Astyanax mexicanus: one gene and its partners. Each later gene encodes a partner of the first gene's protein in a complex. Links are inferred from orthologs where the notes say so. Each region holds a gene or a part of one and is shown on either strand. Other genes may lie near its edges. The genes, in order: kras, rgl1 and sos1.

Region 1 (3,754 bases):
CTACACTTAAGGGTAAAAGTGTAAATTTGACACTTGGGTGAGCCATTCCTTCAATCCAGACTGAGCCAAGAACCTTGGTTTAAGAATAATGTACGCCTTTATCGAAAGTTCTATATTTTTACGTACAGGTTAAAACTAATACTATATCAATATGATTTTCCACTGGACTCTTAAAAAGAGAAAGCAGCACTGACTGGTTTAAACTGTCTCAAACACAGGCCTAATCCTATCTGTATCTGGAGAGTCATCATGTTTGTCAATCATCCATTAAATAATTCCACACTTCCACACAAGATTATGGGAAATAGACAGTGTCTGTTGTGATCAGACTACAATGCACACAGGTCATCATTTGGAGACCAGGCCTTCGTTTTTAACTCTTGAATGACAATGGCTACGATTTTAAGCAACACTTAAAAACCAGCAAAGTCCTACAAACAAAGATGGCTAACCAGAGAAGAACATAAACCCAACACACCACCAACCACTTTTGTGGCCACTTTCAGAAGACAATAGAAAACAACTGTCAAAAACAAAGAAAAAGAAAACAAGGGGTATGTTAAGGGTTCTTTATCTAGCTAGTCAGAAGCTTTTGGTTGTTTCACCATCATCCATCATACAGATGCATGGCAATGTTCCTAAAGCAAGAACAAATTTTGTTTTCAAGAAAGGCATACGGATATCACGTTAAGTCCATTCTAAAGCATTAGACGCAGTAAAAGAACACAAACAGCAATGGAAAAACAGAAAAATCAATTCATTAATAAATAAAGTTAAATTAAGTCTCTGGCAGATACAATCTCAGAACATTGAAAGTAACTACAGCTTTAATCTGGGCCTTTACGTTTAATCGCGCAACATTTGTGAATGAAGAACTTTCCTAAAATCACCAAGAGTTCTAAAGAATCATTCGACTGTCTCCAATTAGATTTGAGACAAAAGGAAAACACTGAATTATTATTAGGAACACAATTTTTAAAGGCTGAGAAACTAATAAGCATAATCTTTCCCTCATTCCAAAACTCTGTTAAATCAAATGTAACAAATAAACGTATAAACCTTTTAGCTCCACTAAACAGAAAGGGAAAATATGACAAAGGTAAAACTTAAGTAAAAAAGTGCATATCTTTGACTTTGTTAGGAATAACTTAGAGGATCTATTAAGAAATAAGGTTTGTGTGTTACGTTTAACTAAGAGTTTATAAGTGTATCCATTTTTTGACTATTCGAGGCTTAATTTGAAATCTGAAATTGAGAGTAAAACCTCATTATTTCATTTTATTCATTTAGTATAGTAAAGCTTTTTTTTTTTGCTTCTCACAATCTGCATATTGTAACAATCAGTTTGGATTACACCATTTTCAATTTAAAAGCCAACAAGGTGAAAATGCATTTTTTAAGATGATACAGAAATAGAAAAAACTTGACGTACTGCCAATTCACTTATATTTTTTTATTTAAGAATTTAGCCTCAAACTGTCCGAAAATAGGCCCGATAAACGGTACACTGGTCAAACAGGGCCTGACTGACTGACTGGGGCGTTCTCGGGTAGCTATGGACGGTAGCTAAGCTAACCAGCTAGCCAGCTTGGCTAGTTAACTAGCTAGGTGGCTAAGCTAACCTACAGCCTCAACAGCTGAGCTAGCTTAGCTAGTTTACCAAAAACAATAGCTTGAGAGTTAGCATTTACAGCACTAAACACAACAGGCTCGAGTTCGGTCGTGCACACTGTAATTAGCCGTTACTGTTTTTTGTTTAGCGTTTCTGTAGCTAGTACCTACCTTCAGTGTTTTAGCTTAGCCGAGTTCCGCGTCCACGAATAATATTAGCCCAGCGTTCGAGCCCACAGCCTACAGTCCGCTCCTCAGACCCGAGCCGGTCATTGCTTCGAGGTTAGGTAGTTAACTAGCTAGCTAGTTTATCTCGATGCTGCGCCTGTGAAGCTGACTAGCTCACTAACCGCCTACCCGAGCCTATTTTCCGCAGCGGGGACTGTGGTGTTTTATTCCTCGGCCTGTTCGCTCGCTCGCTCGCTCCCTGCTCTCGACTGAGCTTCACACACAAAATATGGGCGGATACGGTGTGGCTGAGCGCAGCCCAGCGCTAAGATCACTTACCCAGGGAGCAGTGCACCACAGCACGGGCGGGCTTTCCTGGCTCGTTTCGGTACTTCCTAAAGGCTGGACGACAAGCCTAAAACGTGTACATGAGCTGCGCAGCCCTCTCGACCTGCTACTACTACTAATTCCAAGCCTCAGCTTGCATCTTTCATTCTGCACGCTGCTGCTGCCTTAAGGGCACACTGTGACCAGATCGATATCCCTTCAATAACAGGCGATGCAGAACAATGCAGCTCGACAGGGCGTCATCGGTTCATACTAACTTTTAAAAATAGCTTTTCAGAGCTTTTACAGACAACCCCCTTTAAATCACTGCAGGCTTGTCGGTGCAGCCTAACCAAACGAAGCAAAGCGAAAAGTCAGCACAGTGTTGTAACCGGCTTTTGACAAGCACCATTGTAAGCAGCGGGACGCTGAGTGTAGCCGAGCTTAAATAGGCCCTAAATATAACCGGGGACGTCTTGGACAGACGTCAGCCCCCATGCATGAATCTGATTGGCTGAACGCGCTATCGATCACGAGGCCGTGGGACCAATGCGTGTACCGCAACTGGGTTGTTCTAAAATAGTGTTGTTACTCTGCCTCATGTGGTTTCTTAAATATATCTGATTACTAATAAAATTTAAGATGTGCCATATAAATGAATACATCAAATATATCCAGCTTAATAGTTAGTAATTTGGCATTGTTAAAGTGTTAAACAATTTTGGCAGGTTCATTATATCACTCATAGAACTGGTAAAGTAGTGTTTTTTTTTTATTTTGGGAGCATATATTAATTAGTAGATTTTTAGCATTTTAGTGAATAATATAAATATAAACATACTTGTCAAGTTTTTTTTTTAGATAAAATATCATTTCAGGTGAAATAGTTTTGTTGCCTTTGTAAAACAGATGGAACATTATATTAAACTATAAATTCATCTTCGAAACAACAACAAACAAACTACACTCTATTAAATCTGTTAAAGCGTGTGTGTATATTCTTTTTTAAAATATTAAATATTTGTGTAACTATATTATCATTCTAGCAATATTATTATTTCTGTCTTGGGTACACTATTATATGCATGCACTTATATATATTGAATATAGATTGAATATATATTCAATCGTGTACTACATTCGTTTTCACAAAAAAAACGCACTGGGCCGAAACCTGCCCCTCCCACATGTTTATTAGTCGGACAGATGATGCTTACATTTTTTCAAAATTAGTGGATGAGCTATTTCCAGCTGCCTGAAAAACAACTGGGCTGACGGGGATGTCTCTAGTCAGTCTGAGGAATCCGTGCTGCTCCTTAGGACTGAACACTGAGAGAAGCTTCTGGAAATACTCTTATTGTTTACTCCGTTGAAGTTTCTTTATGTAATAGACCATGTGTAGCTGGTAGTCTCTCCTCGGGCATAAAATATAAATATTCACCATCCGCGTTGATCCATTTTAACTATTTTAAATAACAAAATATAAAACAAAAATATTATTATTATTATTATTATTATTATTATTATTATTATTATTATTATTATTATTATTATTATTATTATTATTATTATTATTTTAAGCACCCATAGCAGTTCCTGTATGAGGCACAGGGTGTCAGTATAAGCATTCACGTAAATCTAGTTAAAG
Region 2 (3,754 bases), on another chromosome or scaffold:
GCGTCATGTACCAAAAAGAGCAAATATAGTCATGTATTGTGCGTAATGTTTATTATTATAATGTTAATTCAGGCTTATAATGTTTATTTTCATCTAATATTAATTTAATAAACAACACAGTAACTAGGGTTGTCCAAATATTTGAGCAAAATAAAAAAAAGCATATTATAACTGCCTCCACTGTCAGCTTTAAACTTTTCACAACTACCTCATAAAGCTGACTGAGAAAATTCCAATATGTAAAAAGCTGTCATCTAAGAAAGAGGTGCTAATCTGAAGAATCTAAAACATAAAATATAATCTGGTTTAACACTTTTTTTTTTGTTTATTAAATAATTTCATATGTTTTTTTTTTTAAAGCATATAGAATATGAATATGAATCTACAAAGCCATTTTAAAATTATTTAAATAATGAAAAAACACTAAATTTAATGTGTGTCCATAACTTTATTTACAGTGGATCAGCACCAGCAGATGACATGTCTCTTTATCCAAACCATCACTGATTGGTGGAAACTTCACACTAGACCTCAAGCAGCTCGGACTGTGTGTCTCTCCACTCTTCCTCCAGACTCTGCTTCCTTGATTTACAAATGAAATGTAAAATTTACTGATGATCAGTGATGGTTTGGAGAGTCATGTCTGTCATCTGCTGGTGTTGATCCACTGTGTTTTATTGTCAAGTCTGCTGACAACTTTTATGGAGATGCGGATTTCATTTTCCAGCAGGACTTGGCACACTGCCCACACTGCCAAAAGAACTAATTGGTCTTATATAATATTCAAATTTTAATTATAATTCAAATGATCAAAAAAATCGATTGCTCTGTGTGTAATACATCTATATAGTATTATAAATAAGGAGTAAAAGTTGATTATAAAGTTGTTTACTTTGATTTGATTTGAGCTGCAGCTGTAAGAGTTGTTATGCTGGTGAGGAAGCAGCTTTTTTACTTCTGAGAAAAAAAAGTTAACAACAATAGCCCATCACAGAAGAACAGAGGGAATTCTGGATAAAGCAGTTCTCATTAGTATATAAATCTCTAATCTGCTCTTCCCCCTCTCCTCACAAGAACACCCACCCCCCCAAAGCACCTCTCTTTTCTCTTTTCCTGTTTTTGTTCCTCTCTCCCTTTCTTTCTCTTCCTCTCTCGCCCATTTGTGCTCTCTCTCTCTCTCTTTCTCTCTCTCTCTCTCTCTCTCTCTCTCTCTCTCTCTCTCTCTTTGCTCCTTGCTATTCTCTCTTTTCCCCCACTGTTTCTTCCCTCCTCTCTCTCTCTCTCTCTCTCTCTCTCTCTCTCTCTCTCTCTCTCTTTCAATATGCCAAGGCTGAGTTTTGTTGAAGCCCCGCCCCCAACCCAAGAGAGGCGGGGCTAGAGACACAATAGGCTTTAATCACTCATGTCAAAGCTTGTTTCACATGAGAGAGAGACAGACAGAGAGAGAGAGACAGAGAGAGAGAGAGCTTTCCAGTGTTTATTAGAGTTCACTAGTTCACCTCAGCTCACACTGAGGTCCTGCTTTAGGATACATCACTGGAAAACTTTGGAAAACTCTGAAAAACTCTGAAAAACTCTGGAAAACCACTGGAAAACTCTGGAAAACCTCTGAAAAACTCTGAAAAACCTCTGGAAAACTCTGAAAAACTTTGTTAAACTCTGGAAAACCGGACTGGACTATACCCAGCTTCCAAATAAACTGGAGAAAGACCAGCCCTGACCTTCCACCCTCATCATCGTCATCACCCTCATCATCATCAATTTTGTTGCATCAGGCCTGGGATCCTCCAGCCCTGCTCTGGTACTGAACTGGTCATGGTCGGAGCGGTCAGAAGGTCAGGATGATTTCTCAGTACCCGCTGGCATCACTGCTGCCCTGGCCTCCTCTACCACTCTGCCTGGATCTGGACCGGGATGGAGGAGGTGTGGCCCTGCAGAGGTACCAGCCCCGATCCCCGGAGAGCAGCACACGACACTGGGTCAGTTACTGTACTCACCAGCCTGGGTGTATACTTGTTATACTATGTTTGTGTGTGTTTAGTGTGTATTAGGTGTGGGAATCATGAATCATAAGGCATGTCATGATACGATGTTATCACGATACATTGATCACGATTATGATGATATCTCGATACTGTGATTCTGCGATACGCGATATATATATATATATATATATATATATATATATATATATATATATATATTGCAAAACAATTCTCCATGATACTTAATGGCATCCGCCCCAGCTGGCACACAACCGACTGTCAACACAATGTGGTTGAAATATGGTTTAAGTAATGTCGGTTGTTGTTGAAACAGTATTTAATTATAAATGGTTGTGCAAAACAACATTATCACTATGCAATTAAAAAAAAAACAGTTGAATGTAGGGATAAAAAAATGGTAAAACTTCTGTTTGAGGTAGTTGCTTTTTATTTTGGCGCCATTTCTTTACCATACCTTCTTCATCATGGCATATTGTTGTTTTCCTCTTCTTTTCAATTTTGAGCATCCCGAATGTAGGCTATGGTTTAACATACGGTTTGGTTGCAAGGTTGAACGTACGACGTTAAAACAACATTGCCATATCCATGTTGATTCACTTTTCAAAATTAAAACCAAATCCAGTGTCGATTCAAACATAACATCAACATTGAGTCAATATTATGCATTGTTGAAATGCCAGCTGGGGTGTAACTGAAAAGGACAAAGTACTCTATTGGTGTCAGATTCACAGAATTTGACAACCAATATTCTTCAGGTTTACCCTATTCATTTGATTATAGCGCCACCATGTGTGGAGTCTTAGTGAGCTTAGAGCGCTTATGTTTCAATTAAAACATTGATTTTTGACGCTGCATATCGATAATATTTTGCAAATGAAATCGAGACGATATATCGCAATATCAATATTTGGATATCATACTCTGATGTGTGTTTGGGTGTATGATTTTTACCTTGGCTTGAGTGTAGGCTGTTCACTTCTGTGTGTTTATTACTTTTTGTGAATTTTACATACATTACTTTTATATTGTGCTTTTGAGAACAGTGGTGGCTCAGTGGATAGAGAATTGAGTTATTGGTGAATTGGTGAGTTGTGAGTTTGATACTCTTGGCATTGGCAAGCAGTTGTGTATTTTATATGGGGCAATATCATCATGTCTGATCTGATAGCAACCTATCAACACCATAACAACCTACTGGGATACCATAGTGACCACCCAGCAACACAACACTAGTAACCAACTAGCAACCACCAAAGAAACCAGTTAGCAACTAGCAGGAATACCATAGTGACCACCCAGCAACTCATAGCAACTAGCTCTGTAGCAACTAACTATCAACCACCTACAGTAGTTACACCATATGTAGCAACCAGCAAGCAACACCATAGCAACCACCTCAGATATCCTTCTATTACACGGTGGTGGGTGGTGAAATTATGAATGTTAAAGCTTCCACAACAGGAACAAATCAAGATTTAAAACAAGATTTGTGAGGTTAGAGAACCTGATAGGTTTCAATGGATTTGTCATGGGTTCTTCTATAAAGTTGTATTGTCTCTAAAACCATGACTCAAACTCAAACAATATTTTGAATACTGGAATGGTTCTATGTCCCCAGTTGAATGAATGAATCTTGATGGGCCATTACGGAAAATTCTAGCATATAAGTGTTTTGTAAGAACCTTTTTTTTGTTAAAAAAAATGTGAAATGTTGCACCATTTACTGTAACTGTAAGAATACAACATAA
Region 3 (3,754 bases), on another chromosome or scaffold:
CCTCAGTTTTTTTGACGCTTTATCTATCGATCTGAGCGAGAAACAGCGCGTTAAATAGCTCAGAAAGCTTTGTTATTGTCCCTCCAGCCCAGCGGAGAGAGAGAGTCTCTGTCCCCCACTGCGCATGATCCACATCTGCAGCCGAGTCACAACAACCGCCCAAAATAAAGCGAACGGCTCGCTTTAAACCTGTAAAAACTCCTCTTTACTAACTGCACCATCCTCCATACATCCTGCACTCTCTCCAGCGCCCGCCTGCGCTGTCACCAGCTCAATCTGCCGTCTCTGAACTAGAGCACCACGGCGAAATTAATGGTTAGCCACCCTCCCGTAGATCCGGTGTTCTGTCCATTTAGGTTACCTTGTCACGGCGAGCTACCTTAGTATTTATGTATAGGTAGACATGCCTTAATAAAACATTAGGGAAGATAATTCGATAGTCTGATATCATTAGCTTTTATCAAAAAATGCCCCCGGCAAAAGTGTAGGTATATGGGACACATTTGGCTTTATTGAATTAGGGCTGAAAGATATGATAAAACTATTTAAAGACAGTTTTAACAATACTCGATTTATACACAAATTATCATGACACGACATTTGAACGCAGTTAAAAGGCAGCACTGAGGATGTCTTTAATATGCTAAAAAAAGTATATTCCTTTGGACTAAAAAGCACATCTCTTTTATATATATATTATTTTTTATTGTAGTTTATTTTGCTTAGTAATAGTATTATTTCTTTTTAATCATTGTTGTTTTTATTATTATATTATTGACATAGTTTTGATACTTTTGTGTTTAGGGAAACGTTTTTTTTACTATTATTTATGCTGATTATATGTTTGTATTGACTAAATTCTGCAATAAAAAATATGAAGCATATTGTCAAAAAAAAAGTATAACCTACTGTTGATATGAAACCGTATCAGGATACAATACAAAATCAGAATACTGCCCACCTTTAATCTAAATCAAAATATATGTTTGGTTAAAAGTTAAATATAAGATAATGTATGTGTTATTCATTATAATTTTGTTTATATTAATCCACATTTATTAACATTTATTAAACAACAACTATATAGCGAGAAAATAGTAATAACAACAGTAGTTCGGCGCATGCGCAGTGCCCCAAAGCACCACATATCGGTGGGTAGCGCAACCCGACAGAACACCGGCTAGCTAAAATGGACGAATGTGTTCCGAGGAGCTGGAGCCGCTTTTGTCCTAAACTGTACCGAAAAGGGGAGAGTTAAACTCGGGCTTTTTTTCACTGTGGTGACACATTTCAGTTTTGAATCCGCATTAGTTAGCTGTTTGTAAGCGAATCCCTGTTTGGTTTAGCTTAGCTTAGCCTAGCTTAGCACAGCGAACCGTTTATTATTATTATTGTTAGCTTAGCCGAGCTAGCACCAGCCCGTTTCTACGGCGTCTGGGAGTGCAGGGAACCGATACAGGGGCAGCTCCAGCTGTTTGGCTGCGTGTTTCTTCGCTGGAGTTGCTGTTTTTAAAGCCTCGGGCTGCGGCTTGGGGCGTTTATAGAGCTGTTAAAGCCACTCAGGCACGTTTTCGTCTTGTTTTTGGTGACTCCAGACAGCTCAGCGCTTCGCCACAACGATGCGATGGTCGCATTAGGTCGCTGCTATTTCCACTCGGTCCGCTCGACCAGGCTCCTTCCCGGCCGCGGGCCTGTGTATGGCCCCGCGCCTGCCTTTCTGGTGTGACACACGGCTCACCGGCCAGGGCTTCAGCAGGACGGACCCGGACCCTGACCGGCGGCCCTGAAGCTCCACCGAAGTCATGCAAGGGACACAGTTCCAGTACGATTTCTTCAGCGAGGAGAACGCGCCTAAATGGAGGGGGCTGCTGGTACCGTCGCTGAACAAGGTGAGCTTTTGCACAGCTGGATTTCTGGACCATGTAACTAGTTATCTGTTGACTTTCTGTAGAGTAGCTAGGTTAACTAGCTAGATCAACGTGGTCAACGCAGACACAGCTTTGTAGGCTTTTTGCTAAGTGTTCTCCTAGACCACTGGTTCCCAAGCTTGGTCCTGGCTGGAGGACCCCCTGCCCCATGTTTCTGTGTTTACATTGCGCGTGTTGGGTTTACATGGGAGGAATGTGGGCTAGGTGGGTTCCAAGTCACAAAGCAGATTTAAAGGAATCAGTACATGACACATTACATACATAAACAATACATTAAACGTTAGCTTAATAACCAAAAACAACAGTGACGAGGGAAAATCCTTCAAATATGGAGGAAGAAACGTTGGGACTGAAAGACCCCCTGCCCCATGTTTTAGTGTTTACATTGCTCATGTTGGGTTTACATGGGTGGAATGTGGGCATAGACACTGTAGTCAAATGTATTTGTGTAGCACTTTTCACAGCTGACCTCGTCACGAAGCAGATTTACAGAAATCCAGTAATAAAAAAGACAAGAGATCATCAGTACATAAAATATTCACATAATACCCCATTGAGCAAGCCAAAGAAAACAGTAGCAAGGGCAAACTCCTTCAAATCTGGAAAAAGAAACTTCGGAGAAACTAAAGACTGGAAGACCCCCTGCCCCATGTTTCAGTTTTTACATTGCTCATGTTTTGTTTACTTGGGTGGAATGTGGGCTAGATGGGTTCCAAATGGGTACAGACACTGTAGTCGAGTGTATTTGTATAGCACTTTCTACAATTGGCATGGTCACAAAGGAGATTTTCAGGAATCAATGCACACCACATTACATACATAAACAATATGTAAAGCATTAATTTCAAGGATTCAGTGAGACTTAATTGTCATTCTCATCACATGTGGGACGTGAGATGGAACAAAATTGTATAAAATTGTATAACTTAATCGCATGACACAACAGTGAAATCTAGAGGAAGAAACCTTGGAAGGAGCTAAGACTGGAAGACCCCCTGCCCCATGTTTTAGGGTTTACATTGCTCATATTGGGTTTACATGGGTGGTATGTGGGCATAGGCACTGTAGTCACATGTATTTGTATGGTACTTTTCACAACTGACATTGTCACAAAGCAGATTTACAAGAATCCAGTAACAAATGGGACAATAGAGATAATCAATGCATTAAATATTAACATAATACCTCTTATTGGGCAAGTCAAAGAAAACAGTAGAAAGAGAATAGAAAAGTGGGAGGAGCTATGACTGGAAGACCACCTGCCCCATGTTTTAGTGTTTACGTTGCCAATGTTGGGTTTACATGGGAGGAATGGGGGCTAGGTGGTTTCCAAGTGGGCATAGACACTGTAGTCAAATTTATTTGAATAGCACACAGCTGACATTGTCACAAAGCACATTTACAGGAATCCAGTAATAAACAGGACAAGAGATCATCAATACATAAAATATTAAACTAATACCTCCATTGGGCAAGCCAAAGAAAACAATAGCAAGGGCAAACTCCTTCAAATGTCAAGGAAGAAACTTTGGGGGTAATTAGACACATCCTCATCCGTTTGCACTACTAAAGATTGTTGATTCAAAAAGGGTAACAGTATCACCCTATAAGTCTGATTATCTGTGTGTGCTAATATAATATAATCATAGTCGCTACAGAAGGTAACACAGACATAAGAGCACCCGAGAACACTGGTATTCCTCACCTGCATCATCCACAAACTTGATTTATTGTGTGCAAGTGGCAGAATGATTGCACCAGTGTCTCAGTTTCTCTGGACAGCTGTGAAACACACTTTCTGGACTTTTAGCTGCTGTTCACCTGTA

The links.
Region 2: the proteins of kras (region 1) and rgl1 are in contact, whole or in part, in a crystal structure (PDB 7SCX), measured with the Homo sapiens proteins. The link is inferred for Astyanax mexicanus from reciprocal best matches to the Homo sapiens genes KRAS and RGL1. Residues at the interface, in NP_001356715.1 of Homo sapiens: Ile24, Gln25, Glu31, Asp33, Pro34, Thr35, Ile36, Glu37, Asp38, Ser39, Tyr40, Arg41, Leu56, Tyr64, Met67; in NP_001284600.1 of Homo sapiens: Ile651, Arg653, Asn660, Gly661, Asn662, Met663, Tyr664, Lys665, Ser666, Ile667, Met668, Lys685, Asn687.
Region 3: the proteins of kras (region 1) and sos1 are in contact, whole or in part, in a crystal structure (PDB 8BE4), measured with the Homo sapiens proteins. The link is inferred for Astyanax mexicanus from reciprocal best matches to the Homo sapiens genes KRAS and SOS1. Residues at the interface, in NP_001356715.1 of Homo sapiens: Ser17, Ala18, Ile21, Gln25, Asp30, Glu31, Tyr32, Pro34, Thr35, Glu37, Tyr40, Asp54, Ile55, Leu56, Asp57, Thr58, Ala59, Gly60, Gln61, Glu63, Tyr64, Ser65, Ala66, Met67, Arg68, Asp69, Gln70, Tyr71, Arg73, His95; in NP_005624.2 of Homo sapiens: Lys602, Trp809, Thr810, Lys814, Leu822, Met824, Ile825, Arg826, Thr828, Thr829, Thr832, Leu833, Leu872, Val875, Ser876, Asn879, Ser880, Ser881, Pro882, Tyr884, Ser908, Asp910, His911, Tyr912, Lys913, Phe929, Phe930, Gly931, Ile932, Leu934.

What each region holds. Positions count from the first base shown.
Region 1 is NC_064409.1:62,227,223-62,230,976, reverse strand, and holds the start of kras (GTPase KRas), read right to left. Parts: upstream 2,544-3,754; 5' UTR 2,119-2,543; intron 2,113-2,118; exon of another isoform or gene 1,783-2,112; intron 1-1,782. UniProt on the Homo sapiens protein: Ras proteins bind GDP/GTP and possess intrinsic GTPase activity. Plays an important role in the regulation of cell proliferation.
Region 2 is NC_064419.1:4,911,224-4,914,977, reverse strand, and holds the start of rgl1 (ral guanine nucleotide dissociation stimulator-like 1), read left to right. Parts: upstream 1-1,418; 5' UTR 1,419-1,841; coding exon 1,842-1,979; intron 1,980-3,754. UniProt on the Homo sapiens protein: Probable guanine nucleotide exchange factor.
Region 3 is NC_064423.1:31,887,543-31,891,296, forward strand, and holds the start of sos1 (son of sevenless homolog 1), read left to right. Parts: upstream 1-1,085; 5' UTR 1,086-1,802; coding exon 1,803-1,889; intron 1,890-3,754.